3 linked regions of the Ovis aries genome follow. The protein of the gene in region 2 purifies or fractionates together with the protein of the main gene of each other region. This does not show direct contact. Links are inferred from orthologs where the notes say so. Each region holds a gene or a part of one and is shown on either strand. Other genes may lie near its edges.

Evidence for each region.
Region 1: the proteins of LSM14A (region 2) and PRMT1 purify together in Homo sapiens (affinity purification with mass spectrometry; 3 studies listed by BioGRID and IntAct, with this or other methods). This does not show direct contact. The link is inferred for Ovis aries from reciprocal best matches to the Homo sapiens genes LSM14A and PRMT1.
Region 3: the proteins of LSM14A (region 2) and EIF4ENIF1 purify together in Homo sapiens (affinity purification with mass spectrometry; 3 studies listed by BioGRID and IntAct, with this or other methods). This does not show direct contact. The link is inferred for Ovis aries from reciprocal best matches to the Homo sapiens genes LSM14A and EIF4ENIF1.

The regions. Positions count from the first base shown.
Region 1 is NC_056067.1:55,810,054-55,814,273, forward strand, and holds the start of PRMT1 (protein arginine N-methyltransferase 1), read left to right. Parts: upstream 1-1,420; 5' UTR 1,421-1,466; coding exon 1,467-1,502; exon of another isoform or gene 1,503-2,514; coding exon of another isoform or gene 2,515-2,529; intron 2,530-2,709; exon of another isoform or gene 2,710-2,840; intron 2,841-3,708; exon of another isoform or gene 3,709-3,710; coding exon 3,711-3,764; exon of another isoform or gene 3,765-3,768; intron 3,769-3,962; exon of another isoform or gene 3,963-4,075; coding exon of another isoform or gene 4,076-4,078; intron 4,079-4,220. UniProt on the Homo sapiens protein: Arginine methyltransferase that methylates (mono and asymmetric dimethylation) the guanidino nitrogens of arginyl residues present in proteins such as ESR1, histone H2, H3 and H4, FMR1, ILF3, HNRNPA1, HNRNPD, NFATC2IP, SUPT5H, TAF15, EWS, HABP4, SERBP1, RBM15, FOXO1, CHTOP, MAP3K5/ASK1, MICU1 and NPRL2.
Region 2 is NC_056067.1:44,136,686-44,140,185, forward strand, and holds part of LSM14A (protein LSM14 homolog A), read left to right. Parts: intron 1-1,838; coding exon 1,839-2,021; intron 2,022-2,133; coding exon 2,134-2,305; intron 2,306-3,413; coding exon 3,414-3,500. UniProt on the Homo sapiens protein: Essential for formation of P-bodies, cytoplasmic structures that provide storage sites for translationally inactive mRNAs and protect them from degradation. Acts as a repressor of mRNA translation. May play a role in mitotic spindle assembly.
Region 3 is NC_056070.1:70,131,064-70,135,283, reverse strand, and holds the start of EIF4ENIF1 (eukaryotic translation initiation factor 4E transporter), read left to right. Parts: upstream 1-1,420; 5' UTR 1,421-1,639; intron 1,640-1,745; exon of another isoform or gene 1,746-1,820; intron 1,821-1,955; exon of another isoform or gene 1,956-2,262; intron 2,263-2,730; 5' UTR 2,731-2,757; coding exon 2,758-2,850; intron 2,851-4,220. UniProt on the Homo sapiens protein: EIF4E-binding protein that regulates translation and stability of mRNAs in processing bodies (P-bodies). Plays a key role in P-bodies to coordinate the storage of translationally inactive mRNAs in the cytoplasm and prevent their degradation.

The DNA.
Region 1 (4,220 bases), about 12 Mb from region 2:
CTGGAGGGGATGTGGAGCACCTAGAACTCTCACGCATCACTGATGGAAATGCAAATTGGTAGAATACCATAGGAAACTTTGGGGCAGTTTCTTATCAAGTTAAACATACACCTAGCATAGGACGCGCAAGCATGTCCTCCTAGCTTGACCCAAGAGAACTGAAAGTGTACATCTACAGAAAGGTTGGGACACGATGGTTTATGGCCTCTTTATTCATAACAGCCCTAATCTGGAAACCACCCACATGTCCACCAAGAGGAAAATGTGATCCAGCAATACAATGGAATACTCCTCAGCAATAAAAAGGGCTGGACAATCGTTATATGAGACATGAACGAATCTTGAAAACATTATGCTGAGAAAAACAAGACAGGCACAAAAGAGCACATACTTTTATTGGAAAATTTAGCAGCTGAAAAGATACACTATAGTAACGAAACAGTGATTGCTTCTGGGGTTGGGTGGGAGGGCGGTGTTGAAAGGGTCGTGAAGGAACTTTCTAGGGTGATGGGATACATTCCCCAAGTAGCAGTTACCTTCATTCAACAAGTAACTTTTTCTACAGGTCGAGGGAAGCTACCTGGAGGAGGTGGCGACTGAGTTATGCCGGGACTGACTCATGAAGGCCAGACGAAGGGGGTGGGTGTTCCAGCATGGGTAGGACTTGGCAAAGGCCAAGTGCTTGAGTGGGGTCACTGGGTTTTAAAAACTTGTAACAATTAAGTAGAGGGCTAAAGATTAAACACCTCGACGCCTGAGTCCCATTTCTGACTTGATTCAGGATCACGGATAAGACCTCTTTGAGCCTCTCACTGCTTCAGTTTTCCATCAGGAAAATGGGCACAAGCTCCCTTATTTCCCGTTGGATTCCCTACAAGCTGGGAGAAGCCACAGAGTGAACGGTGAGTGACAGTTTGTTTGAGCCAATCTCTGGAGCCTAAAGCCTGCTTTCCTTTTTCGTGGGCCAATCGTCACGTTCTCCTTGAGGCCAGCAGCTTGGCGGAGGCAGGCCGAAAGCCTCATGACGTCACATTGCTAATAAACCAATAGCAGCTATTAAGAGGCGGGTACTTTTGGTGATAGTTCTATTTCAAGATGTCCGCTTAGCGCAGGGTCCGCCGGGAAGCTTTGAGGCGGTACGGGAGAAGGGGCGGGAACTCCCAGTAGATTCTGCCCAATCGTCAGTCGCGCTTCTTGCGATAGACGGGCAGTCTTTCCCATCCCCGTCGACTTAAGGGGGCGGGGTTCGGCACGCCAGAGTAGGCGGGCACCTCAGCTTTGATGGGTGTCTCCTTCGCCCAATGGCTAAATGGTATTTCCAGACGGGTCACCTCCTCTACCAATGAGATCTCCTGGCGGGGTCGCGGTGGGCGGGCCGTAGACCCTCCGGTATAAGGCGGTCCCGGGGGAGTGCGGAGAAAGGGGGGGGGTCTCGGCGGCCGGAGGAGGAGTAGACGCGGGTGAAGATGGCGGCAGCCGAAGCCGCGAACTGCATCATGGAGGTGAGCGCCAGGAGCGCCACCGGGGGCGGGGGGCGGTTTGGAAGTCGGTGTTTTACGCCTCCGCCGTGGGGAAGGGGCTCTGAGTCGCCGGATTGGGGTTGAAGGCCCCTGGCCGTACGGAGGGGGGCGCCGCGTGCTCCGTATCCGAGGATACCGTTTGAACTGCGGGTTCCCTAGCTTTCGGGGGCCTGAGGCGCCACGCCGAGCCGAGGGCCTACTGCCCCCTCCCACGTGGAGGAGGGCTGGGGGCGCTTCCGGCCTGGCCCCCACGTGGCCGTGGCACGGTGGGTGGGGAGGGGGTGTGCCGTGCCCGCTTGCCCGGCGGGTTCCACGTGCGGGACAAAGGCCCCGCCCCCGGCCAGGGGAGGGGCGCCCCGGGGGGGGGCGGAGAGGAGGCTCCGACCCTCCCTCCGAGGCCCCCTACCCTCCTCCCCGGGGATCGTGACGGGCACCTCGGGGTGGGGACCTCCGTGCAGTAATGAGGCTCTTGGGAGGGGCAGTGTGCCTCGACCCTTAACAAACCCTTTCCTGGGACCAGGGCATCTGCTTAGGCATCGGTCCAGGTTTCGTGCGCTCTTGCGTTGGGATTGGAGGAAGACGAAGAATTGGTTCCCTCTGGGACCCCTCCTACCCTCCAGTTTCCTGTCTCTGGATTCTCCCCCTCTTTGGGAGCTGGGGGGATGGGGCATGCCCCTGTGACCTCCCTCTGGTCTATGGGGGGGCATCGAGCGGAAGATCTTTCCCGATTAGGCGCTGTGCACCCCCTTGTGGCCATTTCTGGGTGTGTGGGAGGGACATCTTTTTCATGGGGCGTGTCTCCAAGCCCCCCTCCCTGTCGAAGCCCTCCCGGGCGAGGGGAGAGAGAATCTGTCCTGGGAAGGGCTGTGAGGTAGTGGAGGCAGCGGATTTACCTCCTTCTGGCCCTTCCTCTCCCTGGGGTATTTGTGAAGATGGGAGTTGACCACCTCCTCCCTGAACCCGTGTTTGAGGGTCCTGAACCTGCTTGCGTGAAATGGTGTCCCGTGAGGTGTGATTCTCTTGCAGTTATGTGGGGCTTGCCATGATGCTGTGTCTCAAGCGCTCTGGGGGCATGTCTGGCGGTGATGTCGGTGGTGTAGAGAAATGGGCCCTCAGGGGAAGTCCCCTCACCCGCCGTCTTTCCGTATCCGCGTCATTCACTGGTTTGGGGAGGATGGAGGTGGGGCTTGGAGCCCAGGGGTTATGTCTGTGATTTCACGCTTCTTGGCGCCTGGAGAGTGCTTGCATCTGGAAGAGCTGTAATCTGTTGGGCCCTCCGTACTCTCACCTCTTAGCTTGTAGCAGTCTCAGGAATGGGAGGTGAGGTTCCAAGATGCATACCTTGGGGGGCAGCCCCAGGGGTCACTCCAGTGACTCCCCCTTGGCTCTCTGCTAGACGAAGGCCTTCTTGGCTGGAGGAAATATCTTCCTCAGAGGTGGATCCAGGACTCGGCCCCTCCCCTGGGGAGTTTCTGGGCCTGAGATGGTGGTTCGAACGGGGAGTAGATGGGCTTGGGGGTCCAGGGTCTGGCCTCCTCCGTGGAACTCTGCCCTCCTGCGCAGAGGGTCATAATCAGGAGATTGGCACTCCCTTGTTTTGTTTGGGACTCCCTGAGTCCCAGGCAGGAGCTAGCAGCCCGCATGCCAGCTCTGGTGGGGGGTGCCCGTGTGCCACACCTCCTTTCTGGAATCCTCTCAGATGAGAGAGTGCTTTGCAGAGGTGACAGATGCCCAGTGGGTACACCCTGCCAGTTCCCTTCCCCCAGCTCGAATGGTACCCCAGGATGAGGCTTTGTGTCAGGAAGTGTCATCTAATCTGGGGAGATTAGATGGTGAGGGGGAGTGACAGCTGGCAGTGCCCTTGTGCCCGGCGGGTGCCAGTTCCTCTGGCCTGGATGGGGGAGGCGTGTGTGCTCAGGTGCCTGGCCCAACAGGGGCAGTGTGGGGGCAGGCCACCATCTCTCCAGCCACAGCTGGGATAGAACCCCCTCCCTGCTCCCCCACATCTCCCCCACCCCTGTTGAAAACAGCCTTGCCTCTTTACTTGTTCCTTCTCCCACCACTGCTCACAAAGGAAAAGCAAAATTGTAGGAAACACCTCCTTCTTGCCCAAGAGCCCGGGTCGCCTGGCCTGGCCCTCCCCTAGCCGCTCCTGGTAGCTAATCCTTTCTCCCTGTTACTCTCTCCTAGAATTTTGTAGCCACCTTGGCTAATGGGATGAGCCTCCAGCCGCCTCTTGAAGAAGTAAATATCCTTTTGTGAGACCCCTTCCCACATACACATTTCCTCACACGTCACGCCCTTTTTAGTGGTCTAACTGATCCCTCTGGCTTCAAACCACTTTACCCTTGGCCCCCGAAACACTTAGTCCAGACTCCGTCCAGGTTTGGGCCCCCACCTGGCCTCTCCCAATACTGTGGCTACTTCCTTAACTCCATTTACAGCCCCCCACCCCACCTTTGTCCTTCCCTGTGTCTGCCCCGCTTCCGCCTTCCTCTCCCCTCCCTTCCCCAGCTGTGGGCTGAGCTAGAGACGGGGGCAGACAGACTGGAGAGATGGTAGGCCTGGCTGAGGTATCGGGGGTGCCCTCCTGGATGGTGCTCTGGGGGTGGGGGGTTCCTGGGCGAGGCAAGACGGCAGGTGGGGGCTGTAGGGTTGCCATGGTACGGTTTGGGGAGTGGTTCTGTATACTCCATGGGG
Region 2 (3,500 bases):
CCCACAAGCTATGCAGCACAGCCAAATAAGCAAGCAAATAAATAAATCATGTCAAACAATAAATAAAAGTATCTTTCGCTGCCTTTCAAAATTTAAAACATAAATATCATGCTGTACTTGCTGGCTTGTGGCCAAGACATTTTCAGTAGTAAAGCTGAATATTTAAGCATCCTGCCTGTCCACATTTAAGTGTCTGGCTATACTGCTGAGGATATTTGTGGTTTGTTTTCTCAAACTTGGACAATTGCAAAGTTTTATTTAGAGACTAGTGAGCACAGAGATGTCTATTACTGTGCAGTCTTTATGTGTTATACATTTCACATAATTATAATCATTGAATTCATCCTGCTTTTATAGTTTTCTGTTGAAAGTGAAAAAAAGTCACTCAGCCCTGTCCAACTCTTTGTGGCACCGTGGACTGTAGCCCACCAGACTCCTCTGTCCTCGGTATTTTCCAGGCAAGAATACTGAAATGGGTAGTCATTCCCTTCTCCAGGGGATCTTCCCAACCCAGGGATCAAACCCAGGTTTTCTGCACTGCAGGCAGAGTCTTTACCTTCTAAGCCACCAGGGGAGCCCATATTTTTCTGTCAACTCGTCAAATACTATTCCATGTTTCTCTTATAATTTTGTTTTCTTAACTGTTCCTCTTATTTGGAGTCTCAGGTTTTTACTGTAATTTATGCTACTTTGGTATTGCTTTACCATGCCTCATAAATCTTGTTATTGTATTAAATTGTAAAGAAAGGATAGATACAGGAAGACTTGAATAATATGGATCTATTTAGAGAGAGACCGTAAAGGTGAAGCAGGAAGTGGTTGGAGGGGTTGAGATCTGGTGCTTCTTGTCTTTTGAGGTCTCTTGCAGTTTGTGCTAATGTGCTCATTTATTTTTCTCCCTGTAAATCTTGGTTTCTATGATTTTTTTCCATAAAAGGCTTCTTAAATTTTGAGAACCCAGTATACATTTGACACTTCATAGGTATTAGGGATATAAGCAGAACAAAGTAATGTAGTGCAGAAATCTCCCAAATTGTTTGATTGTATACAGTATCAGCCCTAACTTAATTGGTGGGGAATCTACCTATAATGAGGGAGACACAGGTTCAATCACTGGGTTGGGAAGATCCTCTCAAGAAGGAAATGTCAACCCACTCCAGTATTCTTGCCTTGAGAACCCCATGGACAGAGGAGCCTGGCGGACTACAGTCCCTGGGGTCGCAGGAGCCAGACACGACTTAGCAACTAAACCACTACTACCATACTGTATCAGCAGCATGTTTGAATACAGACCCCATAGGAATAAATTTCATTAAGGACATTTATACATTTCATATTTATAAATTTTATGTGCACTTTTTTCAGTCTCAGGAGGCTCCCCTGGTAGCTCAGCTGGTAAAGAATCCACCAGCAGTATAGGAGACCCCGGTTTGATTCCTGGATCAGGAAAATCCCCTGGAGAAGGGATAGGCTTCCCACTCCAGTATTCTTGGGCTTCCCTGGTAGCTCAGCTGGTAAAGAATTCGCCTGCAGTGCGGGAGACCTGTGTTTGATCCTTGGGTTGGGAAGATCCCCTGGAGAAGGGAGCGACTACCCGCTCCATTATTCTGGCCTGGAGAATTCCATGACGGTATAGTCTACAGTGTTGGCTGCGAGTGAGCGACTTTCACTTTCTTCTCAGTCTACTATGTATTAATTATTTGTGAAACTTCATCTCTTTTTTATATTAAATACAAATATAGTCAGGTATATAGAGACTTATAAGCATTTCTGTTGTTGACCATAAAGACCATAATAATAGCTTCTGCTTTAAACCAGCTTATTCTTTATTAATATAGTTCCAGGTGCTCCTTCAGCTCCAAGGAGAGGGCGTGGGGGTCATCGAGGTGGCAGAGGAAGATTTGGTATTCGACGAGATGGTCCAATGAAATTTGAGAAAGATTTTGACTTTGAAAGTGCAAATGCACAATTTAACAAGGAGGAAATTGACAGAGAGTTTCATAATAAACTTAAATTGAAAGGTGAGTTTTTATTTTTCTCCTCAGAGAATACTCTTTTCTGACCATGTGAATTATGGATATTTAGGCCACATCTTGACTTATATGGTATGTACCTTTTTTTTTTTTTCATTAGAAGATAAACTTGAGAAGCAGGAGAAGCCTGTCAATGGTGAAGATAAAGGAGACTCAGGAGTTGATACCCAGAACAGTGAAGGAAATGCAGATGAAGAAGATCCACTTGGACCTAATTGCTATTATGACAAAACTAAATCCTTCTTTGATAATATTTCTTGTGATGATAATAGGTACAGTCTTTTAAGCTGCTGTTATGCAATTAGGAGGTTGAAGTGTGAAGTGATTCCTGATAAATTCACAAAGTGTAATGAATACTTAAAAGTCCCTAGGGACTTCCCTGATGGTCCAGTGGTTAAGGATCCATGCTTCCCAGTGGGCATGGATTTGATCCCTGGATAAGATCCCACTTGCTGTGTGGTGCAACCCCCCAAAAAAATCTAATAACTACAATTTTTTAATATTTTGATAAAAGAAGATAACTAATACTAAAATTTTAAATGATACTACTTTTGGAAAAGAAGAAATAATCATCTATTTTTGTTTGGGGGTGCATTCACATTCGAAAATTAGTAATTAAAAAAATAGAAGCATTCGTCTAACATCTAAATACCTTTTACTTTATCCCTCTACAGTGTAGGTCAGTTGAAGTTTGCTGATGTAGTAAAACTCTGCTCTATTGCAGTAAATATGAATCCAGAAAACTGGTTGGTTAGAGGACTCAGCACAACAAAGTTGCGGTTTCTGCTGCCTGGCTCAGGCCTGCCTTCTGTTGCATTTTGGTGCCACCCAGTGGTGGTTGTCTGCTTCAGTTTAAACATGGATGGCGATGGTGCTGAATCTGATTGGGCTGTCGGCCAGCAGCAGTGATTCAGAAGCTTTAGGCATCAGGTCCAGAGGTTAGACCAGGAGCCTAGTAGGATCTAGGGAATCAACCCTTTATCCCCTCCCATCCTGAGGCAGGGTTTCCTTTCCCTTTCTTCCTTTGAGGCTGATTGGAGGGTAGAGTCAACTACCAATCCCATTTTTTGAAGCTCTCCAGTTTCTTTGTATCATCAGCTGCATTTGCAATAAACAGTACCAGTCAGACTTTCACTTGAAGTGTAACAGAATATAGTAGGACCATATTGCCATGGATAGCTTGTGATGACTTAGATGAGGTACTTTTGTAGGTTTTTTTGTTGTCTTTTGTGATTTTTTTTGATGCTTAGGAATTATTTAGCCTCAGTTTGGAAATTAAGTGCCTCATAGTCTTGCTGGCAAATGTTCTTTAAAAGTTGATACACTACCAAAAAAAAAAAAAAAACTTGATATACTAAAGATTATTTGTCCTCATAATAGAGAGCGGAGACCAACCTGGGCTGAAGAGAGAAGATTAAATGCAGAAACATTTGGAATCCCGCTTCGTCCAAACCGTGGCCGTGGAGG
Region 3 (4,220 bases), on a different chromosome or scaffold from region 2:
CTCAGGCCACGCAAGAGACCAGGTGTTAAGTGTTCCAGCCAATAGCTTCATTGGTTCCAGCTGACAGCCACCAGCAACCGTCAACCACGTTAGTGAGCAATTTGATGTTCCTAGTGCCCAACCTTACAGCTGAAGCCGAAGGGAGCAGAGACCAGCTGTCCCAGCTAGAACCACCCCAAATTGCAGATTTGGTGTAAAGTAAATGTTGATTTAAGCCACTGAATTCTGGGACTGTTTGTTAAACAGCAAAAGATAACCAGAAGTGTTTTTAATGTCATCTCTAATTCCCACTAAAAGCCTGAAAAGTAGGTACTGCTGTTTCTTTTTGATAGATGAGTAAACAGGTTCCAAAGGTGAAGTAACTATGGTTTCGCACTGTCAGGGCCAGGATTTAAGAGCTTCAAAAAAAAAATAGGCCTCCACTTCTCCATAGTGGCTTGCGGATAGAAGACTTTGTAAAGAACACATTTTACCCAGTATAACAGACAAAAATAAAAAGTTTTCATAATTGTTTTCTCTGCTGCCAAGACTCAGGACGGGAACTCAAGAGCTCACTCACTGCCCAATGGGCTGATTTCACAAGTGAAGCTTAAAGAAAGCAGGCTCATTGAAAGATATGTAGATTTCGCTATCCTTCCACGAGAAAAATGACGTTTCCCTCCACAGTCACGTATCATTTCATGGTCCCACGAGGCAGAAACGGGCTCGTGAAATTCCTGCAGACCGGGCTCACACGCGATCCCCGTTAAACCTTTCCTCCCAGCACGGCAGTTACTCTCATTGCTCACAGAGGAGGGGAATCATATTGATATTTTTGCCTCTTTGTGGCCCTTGTCTGCCGGTCCCAGCACTACGTACTAAGCGCTTGACATCTGCAATCTCATTTTCAGCCAAAAGCACTTGCACTTCCCCTTCCCGTGCAGACTAAGGAAAGATTCAGGTTACGGGGCGGGAAAGAACATTTCAATGAATGTGTCAGTCGCCCGTAGCTCATTCAAAAGCAACCGTGGCAGTTTTATTAACACAGCAACGCGTAATCTCGCTTATTCCTCATACACATAGATCATTGCAGTAAGAAGAGCGGAACTCAGTCAGAGCTTTGCCCAACATCACACCACCAGTTAAAAAAAAAAAAAGTCGAGGTTCGAACACACTCCGGAAGGCTCCACGCTCCCAGGTTCGCCTAACACAGAATCCCGCTCCCGAAGCCTCAGGGTTCTCCGCCGAGAACGGATCGTGCAAACGCAGCAGCCGCCGCGTTCCCAGGTTGCGGCCCCCAACCCACTTCCCGGCCCCGGCTGCCTTCCTCGGACGGCCGCCGGGCGGTGACGGAGGGCTCCAAGCTCCGCCCGTCCCGTCCTCCCCGGCCGCCCCGCCCCGAAGCGCGCGTGGGAACGCGGCGTCCTCCCCGGGGCTGCCCGCGACGACTGCCTGCGCGCATCCGGGAGGGCTCTCCCGGCGCCCGGCCCGGTCTCCACCCGCCGCCGCGATCGCCTCCCGGCCTCCGCCTCCCCGCCGCCGGGCGCACGCAGGGGCCGGCGCCCTGGGAGCGCGCCGCCGTGCTCCCCTTTTCCGGCCGGCACCGCCGCGGACACCTCACATCCGGGCGCGCGGCGGCGAAGGCGGTGCTGGGGCCCGGGTGCGTGGAGGGAGTTATTAAGGGGGAGGGGGCCGGGGAGGAGGGGCGGAGGGCTGGGCCGCGGTTACGGCGGCTGAAGGGAGACAGCCGGGGCGGGTGGGGGGGCGAGAGCGAAGGCCGCGCGGAGCAGCGCTCGGGCCGGCGCGGGCGGCGGGGAGGGGAGCGGCGGCCGAGGCAACCAGTAAGGGCCGGGCGGCAGCGGCGGGGTCCGGGGCTCCGCGCGCCTGGGCCCGCGGGGAGAGAAGGGGCGCGGGCGCGCTGAGCCCCGGGGTCGCGTGCGTGAGCGCGAGCGCCGGGGCGCGCGCGGGGGGCGGGCAGGGACCGGAGGCCAGCGGGGCGGCTGGCGGGCAGCGGGCGGGCTGGCGGGGCCCGAGCCGCCGGGCCGGGGCGGACGGCGGCGGGCCTGCGCCGGCTCCAGCTCGGAGCGCCGGGGCTGGGGGATTCGGCCCTCCCGCTCCCTCCGGCCCGCCTCCCCTCAGTGAGTACCGTCCCCGCCCTTCCTCCGAAGGCGGCTGCTGGGCCGGGGCCTGCGCGAGAGGCCGGGGGTTGGGGTCGCGGCCCCTTTGGATCTGAAGCCGGCGCTCGCCCCTTCCTTGGCACGGGCGCCCCTGACATGTCCACAGGTGCGGCGGGCCGGGCGAGGGGAGCTGTGGCCCCGTCCCCAGTCCCCTGCCTCCGGTAACAAGGGGCAGCTGGCGCCGTCCATTGGCAAGTGACAGGCACTTGCCCACTGCGCGACTTCCCCGATCCCAGCCCGTCTCCTACCTGCCCCCACTTCGGGAAACTTCCCCACTACCGCCGGACGGCCCTCACGAGTGGCAGCGACCAGTCTCGGTTTCTTTTTGTATTAAAGCTGCTTAAAGGCTGTCGCCTGATCTGGGCCCGTTCCGCTTCTGCTTTCCTTAGCCTGTTGATGCTTAGAGCTCTTTACGATAAGAGATATCCAAGTACCAGTGGTTTTGTTTCCAGTGGGTTCTGGTTTATAGAAAGGGTTTTTTAAAGGGAGTCCGAGATAATTTCAGTTTCTTAAACAGTGAGGACTCTTAAAAATTTATTGTTCTCGGTGACAGTTTTGTGCTGATTTCTTCCAGGTGCAAAAAACTGTCAACCAAGGAGCCATGGATAGAAGTGTGGGTGAAACAGAAAATGGAGATGCTTTTCTCGACCTGAAGAAGCAACCCGCTTCCAGATCCCCCCATCGCTATACAAAAGTAGGCTTTGTTACTAATGAAATAGTGTTTCTTTATAGGTGAGGAGATTGGTAACATTGTGCAGAAACTTCATTAGTATCGTTTAAAGAGGTAGTCTCATTCTGACTAACTATGTGGACTAAATATTAACTAGACTTAGTAAAACATTGCTTTGAACTTTTTTTCTGAAAGTACAAACACCCAGACTTTAAAATTTGCCCCTAAGTAGGCTTCCACTGAGAAGAAGGCAATGGCATCCCCACTCCGGTACTCTTGCCTGGAAAATCCCATGGAGGAAGGAGCCTGGAAGGCTGCAGTCCATGGGGTCTCTGAGGGTCAGACACGACTGAGCGACTTCCCTTTCACTTTTCACTTTCATGCATTGGAGAAGGAAATGGCAACCCACTCCAGTGTTCTTGCCTGGAGAATCCCAGGGATGGGGGAGCCTGGTGGGCTGCTGTCTCGGGTCGCACAGAGTCGGACACGACTGAAGTGACCTAGCAGCAGCAGCAGGCTTCCACTGAAGGCTGCCCAGATCCTCCCTGTGTGAATTTGTGGATCAGAATATGTTGGCACTTCCCTGGTGACTCAGTGGTACAGAATCTGCCTGCCAACGCAGGAGACCAGGTTTCGATCCCTGAGTGGGAAAGATCCCCTGGAGAAGGAAATGGCAACCCACTCCAGTAATCTTGCCTGGAGAATCCCATGGACAGAGGAGCCTGGCCAGCTACCATCCATGGGGTCGCAAAGAGTCGGACAGGACTTAGCAACTAAACAACAACGAATGTGTTGGCGCACACTTTGTGTAACAGCTGTGCCGCTGACTTACAGGCCGTAGAGGAAGGATTCCAGCTCTGGGATGCCTCACAGACATCAGTGTCCTCTGTGCTGATGTTTCCTTGAGAGCTGAACTCACAGGAGTACTCTGGTATGCTTGCCTGGGGAAACCAGATTTTTAAATTCTTTTTACGTGCTGTTATAAAATGGATATGGACTCAAGAAAGTAAGACTTCGATCATATTTCCCTTAGCTGAAGACTTGTGGTGATTTCAGCTCCTTTAGATGCCTGCTTTTCCTGAGGTGGTCGGGGGAGGAATCACCTCAAGGTCATGTGTTTATCGAAGCTATTGCTCCACTGTCTTGTGGGCTCCTGGCCGTTTCTGAAGCAGTTGATGCGAGCATTGAATTCTTTCCTGGTTCCCCGAAATGTTTTGGGCTGTAGTGCATTAAATGTGCTTGGGACTGCTGGTGGGAAGCGTTATGCCCCAGTTGGGCCTTGTATCTGTTACTTCTCTTGTATGAGCCCAATCAAGGACTCTAATGTGGTGGTTGTCCCAGGCTTCCCAGGATGCTGACTGGTTCGTGTTTTAAACTCGGGCCTTCTGTGTGCG